Linked DNA regions of Caenorhabditis elegans. The protein of the gene in region 1 interacts with the protein of each later gene in a pairwise test. Each region holds a gene or a part of one and is shown in the gene's direction. Other genes may lie near its edges.

Evidence for each region.
Region 2: the proteins of mbk-1 (region 1) and dnbp-1 interact in a two-hybrid assay, tested with the Caenorhabditis elegans proteins (one large-scale study listed by BioGRID).

The regions. Positions count from the first base shown.
Region 1 is NC_003284.9:14,819,407-14,826,335, reverse strand, and holds mbk-1 (Dual specificity tyrosine-phosphorylation-regulated kinase mbk-1), read left to right. Parts: upstream 1-1,795; 5' UTR 1,796-1,801; coding exon 1,802-2,146; intron 2,147-3,313; coding exon 3,314-3,412; intron 3,413-3,463; coding exon 3,464-3,533; intron 3,534-3,602; coding exon 3,603-3,706; intron 3,707-3,753; coding exon 3,754-3,929; intron 3,930-3,983; coding exon 3,984-4,163; intron 4,164-4,210; coding exon 4,211-4,407; intron 4,408-4,468; coding exon 4,469-5,277; intron 5,278-5,357; coding exon 5,358-5,668; intron 5,669-5,862; coding exon 5,863-6,142; intron 6,143-6,233; coding exon 6,234-6,311; 3' UTR 6,312-6,427; downstream 6,428-6,929. UniProt on the Caenorhabditis elegans protein: Possible role in the function of olfactory neurons.
Region 2 is NC_003282.8:13,976,828-13,981,633, reverse strand, and holds the start of dnbp-1 (SH3 domain-containing GRB2-like protein), read left to right. Parts: upstream 1-1,786; 5' UTR 1,787-1,794; coding exon 1,795-1,904; intron 1,905-1,952; coding exon 1,953-2,030; intron 2,031-2,104; exon of another isoform or gene 2,105-2,125; intron 2,126-2,210; exon of another isoform or gene 2,211-2,231; intron 2,232-2,476; coding exon 2,477-2,565; intron 2,566-2,652; coding exon 2,653-2,914; intron 2,915-3,038; exon of another isoform or gene 3,039-3,059; intron 3,060-3,145; exon of another isoform or gene 3,146-3,166; intron 3,167-3,700; coding exon 3,701-4,160; intron 4,161-4,213; coding exon 4,214-4,678; intron 4,679-4,786; exon of another isoform or gene 4,787-4,806. Other genes in the region: gei-18 (GEX Interacting protein), read left to right, coding at 1-95, 220-412, 457-547.

The DNA.
Region 1 (6,929 bases):
TACCATAACCCTAAAAATTATGTAATACACTTAAACAACCGCATAAAAATTCAAATGTCTGAAACGTATAAAAAATATAAGCAAACAATTCTTATTATAAAAAAGTTGAAAGATCAAAGCGATAAACAAGTATCTTTTTGAAACCAAACATCACAAATTTCTGAATAGCTTTTGATTTTTTTTTTCGTTTTTTGTTGTATCAAGTATGTATCAAGGTATCAAGAGCACGGATTTCTTATGAACTTTAAATTTACAAATGCACTTTCAGTATGGCAGGAGTCCACCAACGGCAGCTGTCAGTAGATTTTTCTTGAGGAACTTCAATCGAATCTCCTATGATATTTTATAGTTTTTTTTTGAGTTTGGAAAGGTTTATTTCTCATGTTTTATATGTTTGAAATGGTTTCATAGAAGACTCAAAATAAAACATTTTATTTTCTGCAAGTGTTTTGTATTGTGTTAGACGTGTTTATACAATTTTGTACTTTAATATAAGTTTACTTAGTTTTTGAGGATACATATTTTAAAACGCAGCTAATTTTTAGAGTTAGAATATTTTATAGACAAACTCAAAGATTTTTTTAAAATGTTTTCAAAATACTATGTTGCTTGGCCACCTGTAATTTTATTATTTGGAAAAAAATATCCCGAGATCGGGCCAGAAAAAACGACAATAAACTGATGCTTATACACCGTAAACACGTGGTGCCAGAGTGTCTCATTTCGGTTCGATCTACGTAGATCTACAAAAAATTCGGGAGTTGAGACGCAGACTTCTCAACTGATTTCGCATGGTTAAGAACGTGCTGACGTCACATTTTTTTGAGCAAAAAATTCCCGCATTTTTTGTAGAACAAACCGTAGTGGGACAGCCTGGCATCACGTGCGTAAAGCGTAAGTTTTATTCAAGTTTTCCCATATAAATAAGTTCTTTCCCAGAGGTAGAATTCGAACATTACTTTTTTTAATGATTTCCACTTCTCAAACTATATGCGTGTTACCATGTGAAATGTTAATTCAAGATTTGTTAAAGGTTTCAGAATAAATTTTCAAAATTACAGCAAAACCCTCAATTATCTCGAAGTGCATTGAAATCTCAACAAAAAGTTCAATTTACGGGGTTCGAAACGCAAATCTTCTTGATTTCTCATGTTAAGTTTTCATTTTTATAAAATAGTTTTTTTTTCAAACCACAATCCTTAAGTTGTGGTCTTATTATCAAATATCACGTGTTATACTTTTTCAATACACCCCTTTTTAAATACATAATCCACCTGGAACTTTTTTTTCTGTAAAATGTAACTCTTTGTGGCAGATGGCGCACCTGCTCGAACCATTTCCAGCTGCAGAACTTTTTGTGTCTTTGTATCGTTCCACCGTTCGTCCCCACTCCGTTCGTCCCCGTTAACCCATGTTCCCCACTCTCTCATCAGTTGTTGAGAGCGCTGCGTGTCGCGTTGCGTGTCCTCGACTCTCTCCGCTCACCACACTCTTTCGAGCCCTCTCATTCACATGTGATCTCTCCTCCGTGTTTCTCTTTGCCTCTCCAATGAATTTTTATCGTTTCATAAATAATTGTAGTGGAACTACTTGTTTTTTTCTTGTAAAATTTAATTTTTTTTTCAAATATTTCAAATATTGCAATTTTCCGTGAATTTTAATCTTTTTCTTGTTATATTCTCTTTTGAATATTAAATTTTTATGTTTTTTTTTTTGATTTACTCTATTCTGCTCGTTCTCTTGAAAATTGTCATAATTAGTTTGAAGATTTTAACAAATTTTCAAAAAATTTCAGGAAAACATGAACACAGCAGACGTGCCTGACAATCTTCAATCATGGGGCCAACAACCATCATCAAGTTACTCAAATACCCAGCAACACTCACAAATGACTAATCTTCCGCCTATCAATCACAATAATCTTTGCGACACCGAACCGATGAACGAGGACTTTCAACTTCAAGACGTGCAAGCTGACGAACTTCAGAAGCAGCAAAAACAGCAAGAGCAGCAACACATTCAACAGCAAAATGCACAACGTTTCATTGCACAAAGCCGTCAACCACATTCCAACATTCTGAGATTCCCACAGCCACCAATCACTTCAATTAAGACGAATTCACACGCTTTCTATCCACAGCAAGAGGTTTGTAGAACGTTTTTTTTTTTGTGTTTGAAAAAATCACATCATTCTAAAATGGAATATTTAAACGCTGCTCACCCCCACATTGCTGTAAATAATTTTCATTTTGAAAAATAACAGATAAATTTCAAATTTGCAAAAATAAACTAATTATAAAATATGATGATATTTGGAAAATATTTCATTTTAATTTCTAAATCTAAAATCTATTTTTGAAAAATAAAGCTTTATGAGCCGTTGCCATTGTTACGTTGATAAAACCGTGATTCAAAAGAATCTGATTTTGAAAAAAAATAACGATTGACTGATTTTTTGTGATTAATAGAAAATTGCCGTTTTCCTGGAAAAAAATGGAAAAAAAATTGGATTCTGAAGATTTTTCGTATCATTTTTGTATCAAAATATGAACTTTTGTATTTGCAAGCTTTCAATGTTATTTTACAGTTTTAATAGTATCATCAACGTTAAGATTTAAATTTGTTTGGCAACAAATCCCATGAGTAGTAGAATTGTTTATTTTAAAGTTTCAAAATCAACTACTTTTACATTTAAAATTAACCTGTTAACTGAAGCCTACTAATTGAACATTACCAAAATTTTTGATTTTTTTTCTCAATTTGAATGGTAGTAATTTATCAAGATTTTAGGTGTTCTGCTATTAATTTTTTTAGTATTTTAGTATTTAACTAATTGCTTATTAGTTCAAAAAACAAAAAAAAAACTAGTTTAATCTGTTCAAATTTCTTATCAGTTACCGACGTGCTTCACATAGTTGCAGCAATCAATTCTAGGTTTTCACATAATTTCCTTCATCGGGTGTTCTTATGCAACAGGGCAGTAATCACTGAAGGGCGAAAGTCGAGCTTTACACTATTCCGTTCTTTTCCCTCTTCTCTCCCATCATTTCCTCTCCCCCTATCTCTTTTCTTTTCTACACACTCAACAAGAAATCAGCATTTGCGTTTGCATTGCGGTGCGGACGTTTTGTCTCTCCTGTTGTTATACTACCGCTCTGCACATTCGTGGCCATGCCCAACCTCAACAACTTTTTCAGTCTCCGAAATGATCACTTTGTCCTTTGATAGTTTTTGCCCCCGCTCCAAATTCTGCAAGCGCTTTTTCAGACTGATCCTAGAGTACCTTCTAATGTTGCAATCTTACAAGTTTCAGGTCACCCAAGTCCGGCCAAAGAAGCATCGCGTATCCATGACTAATGCAGAAGCGGCACTAACTCCCGGAATGCCTCCGGAAAAACAAGCCGCAAAGAAGGTACAGCCTAGATGATTCAACTTCTTGACACATATGTCTCAAAAGTTTCAGAGAAATATTGGCCAGTTCTCGACAGATACTGTTCCGGCTGGAATTGGAATGATTGGTATCCCGTTTGAATGTAAGTTTGGCTAGCTTTTGTGAAAATATTATAAGAATAAAAAATAAAAATAAATTGTACACATTCCAGCTACCTCAAAGCCACTCCAAATTCAACAATTCCGAAATCCTCAAGACGCGCCAGTCAGAAAACTAACCAGTGATCTCATCAAAACTTACAAGGCTATCAATGAGGTAGGCGAAGATGGAAGAGAGTCTTAATACCGCTATAAAAGTTTCAGTCTTTCTACCTACGGAAACAGGTTCGACGTGATCGTCACAAGAGTCAAGATGCCGGAAAGCCAAAGGGATCCAAGGATGGTTCCGGGGCGAGCCTGACTGACACATTCTCCATTCACAATGCGATTCCAATTACGAGTTCTGATAATCATTATCAGCAAGATGCTCATCAAAATGCGTATGTTGTTTTCGTGTGATATTTGAAGAGTTCACTTTTTTTTTTGACTTTCAGTCCTCCTCTACTTGACACTAATGCTCCGCCCACCTCAACAATGGTTGTTCCTATGCGCACAGAGACTGATCTTCAACAGCAGCAGCGACAGAAAAGTAGTCGTGGCGGTCCGTACAATAACGGGTATGACGATCAGAATTACGACTATATTCTTAAAAATGGAGAGATATTTGACAAGAGGTATGCTGAAAGCACGAAACTTATTTGACTAACAGCCTATTTTTCAGATACGTGATTCTCAGTGACACGCCGGTTGGCAAAGGATCTTTCGGGCAAGTTACAAAAGCTTACGACACGCTGAATAAAGAAGAAGTCGCTATTAAAATTATCAAGAATAAGAAGACTTTCTTCGATCAAGCTCAGATTGAGATTCATCTTTTAGAATTGACAAATGCACATGACAAGGATAATAAGTATAATATTGGTAAGTTGCATGACATATTAACATATTCAATGTTGATAGAATCAACTTTTCAAATTTTCAGTTACGCTCAAAGGGCACTTTGTGCATCGGGCTCATCTTTGCTTGGTATTCGAGCTTCTCTCCTACAACCTCTATGATCTTTTGAAGAACACCAGTTTCCGTGGCGTTTCGTTGAATTTGGCACGCAAATTTGCCCAGCAATTAGGAAAAACTCTTCTCTTCCTGTCATCTCCAGAATTATCGATTATCCATTGTGATTTGAAGCCGGAAAATGTGCTACTAGTTAACGCGAAGCGGTCTCAAATTCGTGTGATAGATTTTGGATCTTCTTGTCAGACTGGACACCGAATCTACCAGTACATTCAGTCGAGATTCTATCGTTCGCCGGAAGTGCTGCTCGGCATCGCGTACGACACGAAAATTGATATGTGGTCCCTGGGATGCATTCTCGTCGAAATGCACACCGGAGAGCCGCTGTTTGCCGGGTCATCGGAGGTTGACCAAATGATGAAAATTGTGGAAGTTCTTGGTATGCCACCAAAAGAGATGTTAGACATTGGCCCGAAAACACACAAGTATTTTGACAAAACTGAGGATGGGATCTACTATTGTAAGAAGACTCGTGACGGATACCGCCATACCTACAAAGCTCCTGGAGCCAGGAAACTTCACGAAATTCTGGGTGTGACTTCTGGCGGGCCCGGAGGTCGCCGGCTTGGAGAGCCAGGACATTCTGTTGAAGATTACAGCAAATTCAAAGACTTAATAAAGAGAATGTTGCAATTTGACCCCAAACAAAGAATTTCGCCCTATTATGTGGTTCGGCATCCGTTCTTGAAGCAGAAGGAAGAGCGAGTTCCATCTCAACCGGTGTGTTTTTTTTAATTTAATTTTTAATTTTTATTAAAATTTAAATTTTTTAAATTTTCTTTCAATATTTAATTTTTTAGCCGGTGTCTCACTCGAACCTTCAGCAACAACAGCAATTGTACATACAGCAGCCGTCAAGCCAAATGAGTCAAGTGATGGAATCTCCGTCGGTTGGATCAGTCTATGTGGAAGATAACGGGATGTATCGCCAGGCGCCTGGATCTTCTGCCAACCCAATTTCCGTCACATCATCGTTTGACGAAGGAGATGCCATGGAAGTTGATGCTGGGAGAAGACGCTTCTCTGCTCATCAGCAAAATTACCACAATCCAAACTATCAGTACTCTCAACCACAACAGCAACAGCAGCAGCAGTATCAGCAGACACAGCGGTAAGTACAAGTACAAAGTTTGGTCTCGTGTGAACCTTATGAGATTTTGGACTTTTTGGACAGCTGCTCCTATGACACAAACTCAGAGAAAATAATTGCGTCATCAGGAGACTACCAAAAATTTTGTGGTGTTCGAAATAGACAAGAAATTTTAAAACTAAAGAGAGAAAAATTATATATGTAGAAATTTCTAGAACGCAACTGGAGCAGCAGCAGAAACAGGCTCAACTCCAACAGCAGCTCCAGCAACAGCAAATGCAGCAACAGCAGCAACAGCAACAACAACGCCAGCACATGCCACAAGCGCAGAGCAGTTCCCAACAGCACCTCCAATCACGGGCGCGGCCACGACAACAGGATCAGAACGAGTGGAGGAATCAGTTTGAGCTGGATGACACGTTTCAGCAGAAGCAGCGAAAAGTTGATGACTCTGTATCGAATCAGATTTCTAGAAATCAATTCAATCCACAACAGGTGAGATTTTTTTTTGCAATAAAAAAAATGCGCTGCTGCACCCCCCACCCATCATTCAGAAAATGCCAATTATTGAAAATAAATATTTTAGGTATCGATGACGCATGGAAATGTAAATGCTAACAACCGAGAGATGGAGAAACTCGATTACCCGAACAACAAACTCTGAAGCACACAGAGTCTAATAGCTAATTTTTTTGGAAATTCTGTCAATTTGATGTAATGCTTGTTATTTTTTTTTGTTTCTGTGAACAATATGGAGTTAATAAACACTGGTTCAACTTTAGCATTTTTTTATTACTACTGTTGTATTTTCAATTATAAGTTCTCAATTTATCAATTTAAGAGGGTTTTTTTTTTGGAAGTTTTAATTAAAAATATTGGAAACATTTAAAACAAGCATGAATGACGTGTCAACAGAAAAAAAAACCTGTTCAGATATTTCGTAACTTCTCTATTTGCCAATGAGCTATCCTCAACCCAAGCAGCAGCGGGGCATTCGTCACCGACTGCAAAAAAGTACTACATACTAGAAGTTTTTCGTTCAGAATTTTCTTGCAATTTCTGCCATTTCCCCCACCGCCCGTTTGCCACCAATGTCCATCCATCCATTTCGCAACGCGACCAGGAAGATATTATAAATCTTCGACGCCTTTAGCCAATCCCCCCCCCCCCCGTCATCTCCACAGGAAAACCTGTTTTTGTTCTTCTCAAGTTCCATTCGTTTCTCTGTATTCTCTTCATTTTTCGTCCAATTTCATATAACACACCCTTTCCATCCATGTTT
Region 2 (4,806 bases), on another chromosome or scaffold:
TCAAAATTCTAAATCAGAGACAAATTCAAATAATTTACCAATTGAAATTGGAAATCAACTTGAAAGAGGAGAGCTACATGCAATATTGAACAATGGTTAGTTTTTTTTTAACTGTTTCACCAAGTTCATTAATTTTGGGCATTTTTGACACTTACGTTATATAGTTGTAAATGTATTTTTCCGAAAATCTCTTGAAATTTATTTCACTTACCACTTTAGCTCTCGCATCACAAATGACACCTAGAACAGCAGTCCTGACAAATATTGATCTTCTTGCATGGGATGCAGTTTTAGTGCTCCATGCCTTTGCGGACCATGGAACTTTTCCCATCCCAAAAACTGTACTCCTCCTAGCAGTATCAACAGAAGAAACTACTTATTCTGGGAATAGTTGTGATGGGAAAATTTTGAAGTAAGTGATTTTTATTTTTAAAATAAAAAGCAATTAAATTCCAGGCTTGTAACGAACCGCTGGATCGAAAATGGAGGAAACTATGACAATATTCCACCAATTGTAGCCAGGATTTCATATTTTATGTGCTTATAATAAAAATTATTTGTTTAAAAATTTAGTTTTTGTTTACTTGGAAATTGTGAAAAAATATGGAATTTTTAAACTTGGTTACTGCAATTTTGTTCACCGGGAAAAATTACTGTTTCAAAAGATTTGTTTAATTGAAAATCCTCATGTTTATTTGGTTCCTTTATATTAAAATTTTGATTAGAAAAATATTATTCACGAGAAAACAAAACAAGTTTTTAAGTGTTTCTGTGAAAATTTAGGGCAGATCAAGTGTAGATCACACAAAATTTTAGGGAAAATCTATAGAAATGCACATTTAAATGTGAAATTAGAAGAAGATATAATATGATCTACGTGTGATCTACTCAAATTTTTCTCAGAAACGCTCAAAACCAAAGGCTGACCGCGCGACAAAACGATTTTGAAAAAAAGTCCTCTTCGAACTCAGAGAATTTAAAATTTAAACTATATTTTGTAAACAAAAACAATTCTTTTTCCTGTTTGTTTTTTTCATCATAACTTTTTATCAGTTTTTCCGTTTATCAATTTAGGGTTCAGTTTACGAAAAAAATAAAAATATTTACATCAATTTTAAAGCCTTTTTCTTCAAAAAACTCGTATTCATTGATGACATTTTCGGTTCCTCATTATTAGTTTTTTTTTGCAGTTTTTTTCGGCATTTTCTTCCTCGATTTAATTCCCTCAATTTTGTGTGCACACAAGTGCTTTTTTTTGTGTGCGTGTTTGTTGTGTCTTGCCCCCTCCTCATCCCGTTGCGTCTCCTCAAAACATGACAAGTAGTTGAACGATAGAGCGAACTTGCATCTTTCGATTTCTCGGCTGGTGGGGCGGGCGACGTCGCAGCAGCACGTCTTCTTCTCGATGAGAATATCGATTTTTCATATCCCAACACGCACTTTTCATGTTTCAATTGTGATGGCTTTTCATTGAAATAATCCTTTTTTTACAACTGGGGTTTTTAGCTAAAAATTGGGAATTTTTGAAAAAAAGAAAATTTCACAAAATTGGTCTCTGGCTGGTCTATCGCTTACTAATTGTTTATTTTATAAAAATATTGTTTAGTTTCTCGTCTCACTGACGAAATCCAATCTAACACCATAGAAACTATAAACATTTTGCAATAGGAACTAGTGTTCTATTCGAAAATTGGAAATTTAATTGAATTTTTGATGTAATTTTCAAAAAAAAAGCTTGACTAACTCCGTCTGCGTCTGAACACTTTTTTCTCAAATTTTCCAAAATTTTGCAGTATGGCCCACCTCTCGTGGGTAAGAATTTCAAATGCCACACAAGATCCCGAAACGCGGTGTTCTGTAGCCCAAGATCAGATTGTTAAGGTGGTCCGTGAGGAGGGGGATTGGTCAGTGCCACGTGGCAGTGCCAATTTATAAAATCTTAACATTTCTAGGTGTCACATTCAAACCATCGAAGGGGTTTCCGGTCGGGTTCCCAGAGTTCTTACATTGCCCATCGTCGACCCGAAAAGGTTTTTGCTTTCTCTCTAAAAGATTGTCGTTTCACAAGATTTTGAAATTCCTTCTTAAAGGCGCACGGATTTATTTAGATGGGTCTCGGCGCGAAAAAATTTTGCGATTGTTTCTTCGTTTATTATGCGAATTTCACCGCTTTGTTTTTAAATATCAGTTTTCAAAGTACAAATACACTCTTTTTCTATAATTTAAGATTATCGATTTCCTTTTAACTTAAATGATTTTTAGCTGACCGAGAAACAGAAAAAAATTTTAATACAAATTTTCTCTGTGTTTTGAGCACTGAAATAATTTTTAACACGAAAAAAAGACTACCACAAACTTATTCGCGCGCCGAGACCTATCTGAATGAACCCGTGTGCCTTTAAAATAGCATGGCAAAATTTTGTGAAATAACAATATGCATTTCATTTTATCTGAGACTGTTTCTATATTCTTGCAGACAACCTGACGAGCAGGTGTATTGCTCAATTGAAGCTTACACCTCTATCCGCTCCGATGATCTCTCATTTGCAGAATTTTCAATCTTTGGTATATACTTTTTCCAACAATTTATTTCTCTAATTTTTGCAACCAATCAGTTAACTAACCAATTTTATCAATCAATCACATTTTCAGTAGCAAAACCGTCGCGTTCAAATCCTGGTTATCTGGACGGATTCCTGGTGAATGACAACGCTGTTCAAATAGGACGCCGTGGATTGTTACCGGAGGCACATTTGGTCAATTTGCATGTTTCTGCTGAAAGTCCGATGAAGCCGTCATTCACCACGGATTTCAGTGAGGCTGATGTCCGATTTCGGACGCCTGCCACTGCTCCGAAAGCGGCAACTTCGAATTATGCAGTGTCGCCGTACGCTAGAGCTGTTTATGATTTTCAGTGAGTTTTTACGTTTAATGAATTGAAATTTTTTTTTCAAATTCAAAAACACATTTAAAAAATTTGTCTTCCAACGTGGTGCCCACTTTCAGTTTTTTTTCGTTGATAATTTCGCTAATTTTTACCAATTTTAATGCTATCATCACTAAATTGTGCTCGAAAACCAAATTTTTAATAGAAAGTGCGTAACAGTAAATCAATATTTAAATCACTTTTCAAATATGCCAAATATTTGCATTAAACACATCTCTATCAAAAACCAAAAAGTCAGGAAAAAATATATATGGCAGTTGAAACGGGAAAAGTGTTACGCCTTTTTAAACGATTTTTTCACAAATTTTTGGATTAAATTGGTTAAAATACATAACTAAAATATGATTTTATCATGGCCGTTGTAAAGAAAAAAGTTAGCACGTGCAAGAAATAAAATATTACATGAAGATTAATTTATTTTTACAAACTTTCCATTAAAAATGTGGTTTTTGAGTTGCAGTAATAATCTTGACTCACAAAATATCTGACGCTTTATTTTTTGTCATGACTGTTTTGGGTCTATGAAAACAAGTAGAACTAGTTATAGGTAATTTTTTGTTGGCTGAGCATTTTTCAATAACATTCCTAGTTCTCGAGTTATACTCATTTAAAATGGATACTTTTTTGGCCAGTACTACTGTATCTTATTGTGAAATATTGTCACGTCAAAGTAGGATAAATAATGTGTTTTTATTCAGTTTCAAAATTCATTTCAATCTTCTCAATATTCTAATTTATCTATATATTTTCCAGAGGCGAATTTGAAAACGAGCTCTCTTTCTCTGCCGACGAAATCATCAGCTTACGTCGTCGAATCGATGCAGAATGGCTTGAAGGATCGATAGGATCTGCTCGTGTCGGAATATTCCCCACTTCTTTCGTTCAAATCATCGTTGATCTACCTGACGATGACACTACATCGCTTCAAAATAACCGACGAAGCACGACCACCGAGAATGATGGAATCGGATTTGCGAATGTTCGGCACGCGTTTTCCGGTCGTCAAGGAGATGAGCTGACTGTGAATGCTGGAGACACTGTTCGAGTACTACGAATGGTCAATGATGAATGGGTTATGTGCAAGGATCCAGATACAGAGAAGACTGGAATTGTACCTGTAGGATTTTTAGAAGTTTATCTGGATGAAGAAGATGACGATAATCAATCTTCAAATGCTATGAGGCGTGGAACTGGAGGGACCAGCGATTTTACGGTGAGACTTGAAGAAAATAGGTTTTTATAGTTAAATCAATTATTTTTTTTCAGTTTGGTAGCTCCAACAATCGTTCCTCCTTCATCTCAAATGCTGAATCCTCATCCGATTGGAGACCACCCGCTGGAAGAACAAACACCGATTGGGCAACCTTTGAAGCAGTTCCACCGGCAGCGCCTGCATCAAAACCTGCCCAAAATTGGGCAACCTTCGGCGAAGAATGGATTGCTCCAGTTCAGCTAGCAAAGACTTCAGCTCCAGCCCGACCACCACCTCCTAAGCAAAGTTCTATTCAATCACCTATCAATGATATTGGCAACGTGGCTGACATGTTTGGAATGACAGATACTCCAAAACCAAGTAACCCTGCGATCCAGTCTGCTGGCAGTGACTTCGAAATTGGACTGATTTCCGCCACCGAAGGAGCATCAAATGATGAGGATAAACGATGCAGAATCATTGAGGAGTTGATAAGCTCGGAACTACAGTTCATCAGTGATATTAATTCCTATACAGAGGTATAGTTCAGGGGTGCACGGCATTTCAGCAATCGACAATTTTATCTTCAAAAATTTTTATACTGTTTCAAAATTTTCATTTAAAGTCTGACGAAAAGTCTATGACACTAATACGTCTGGGCGTTTAC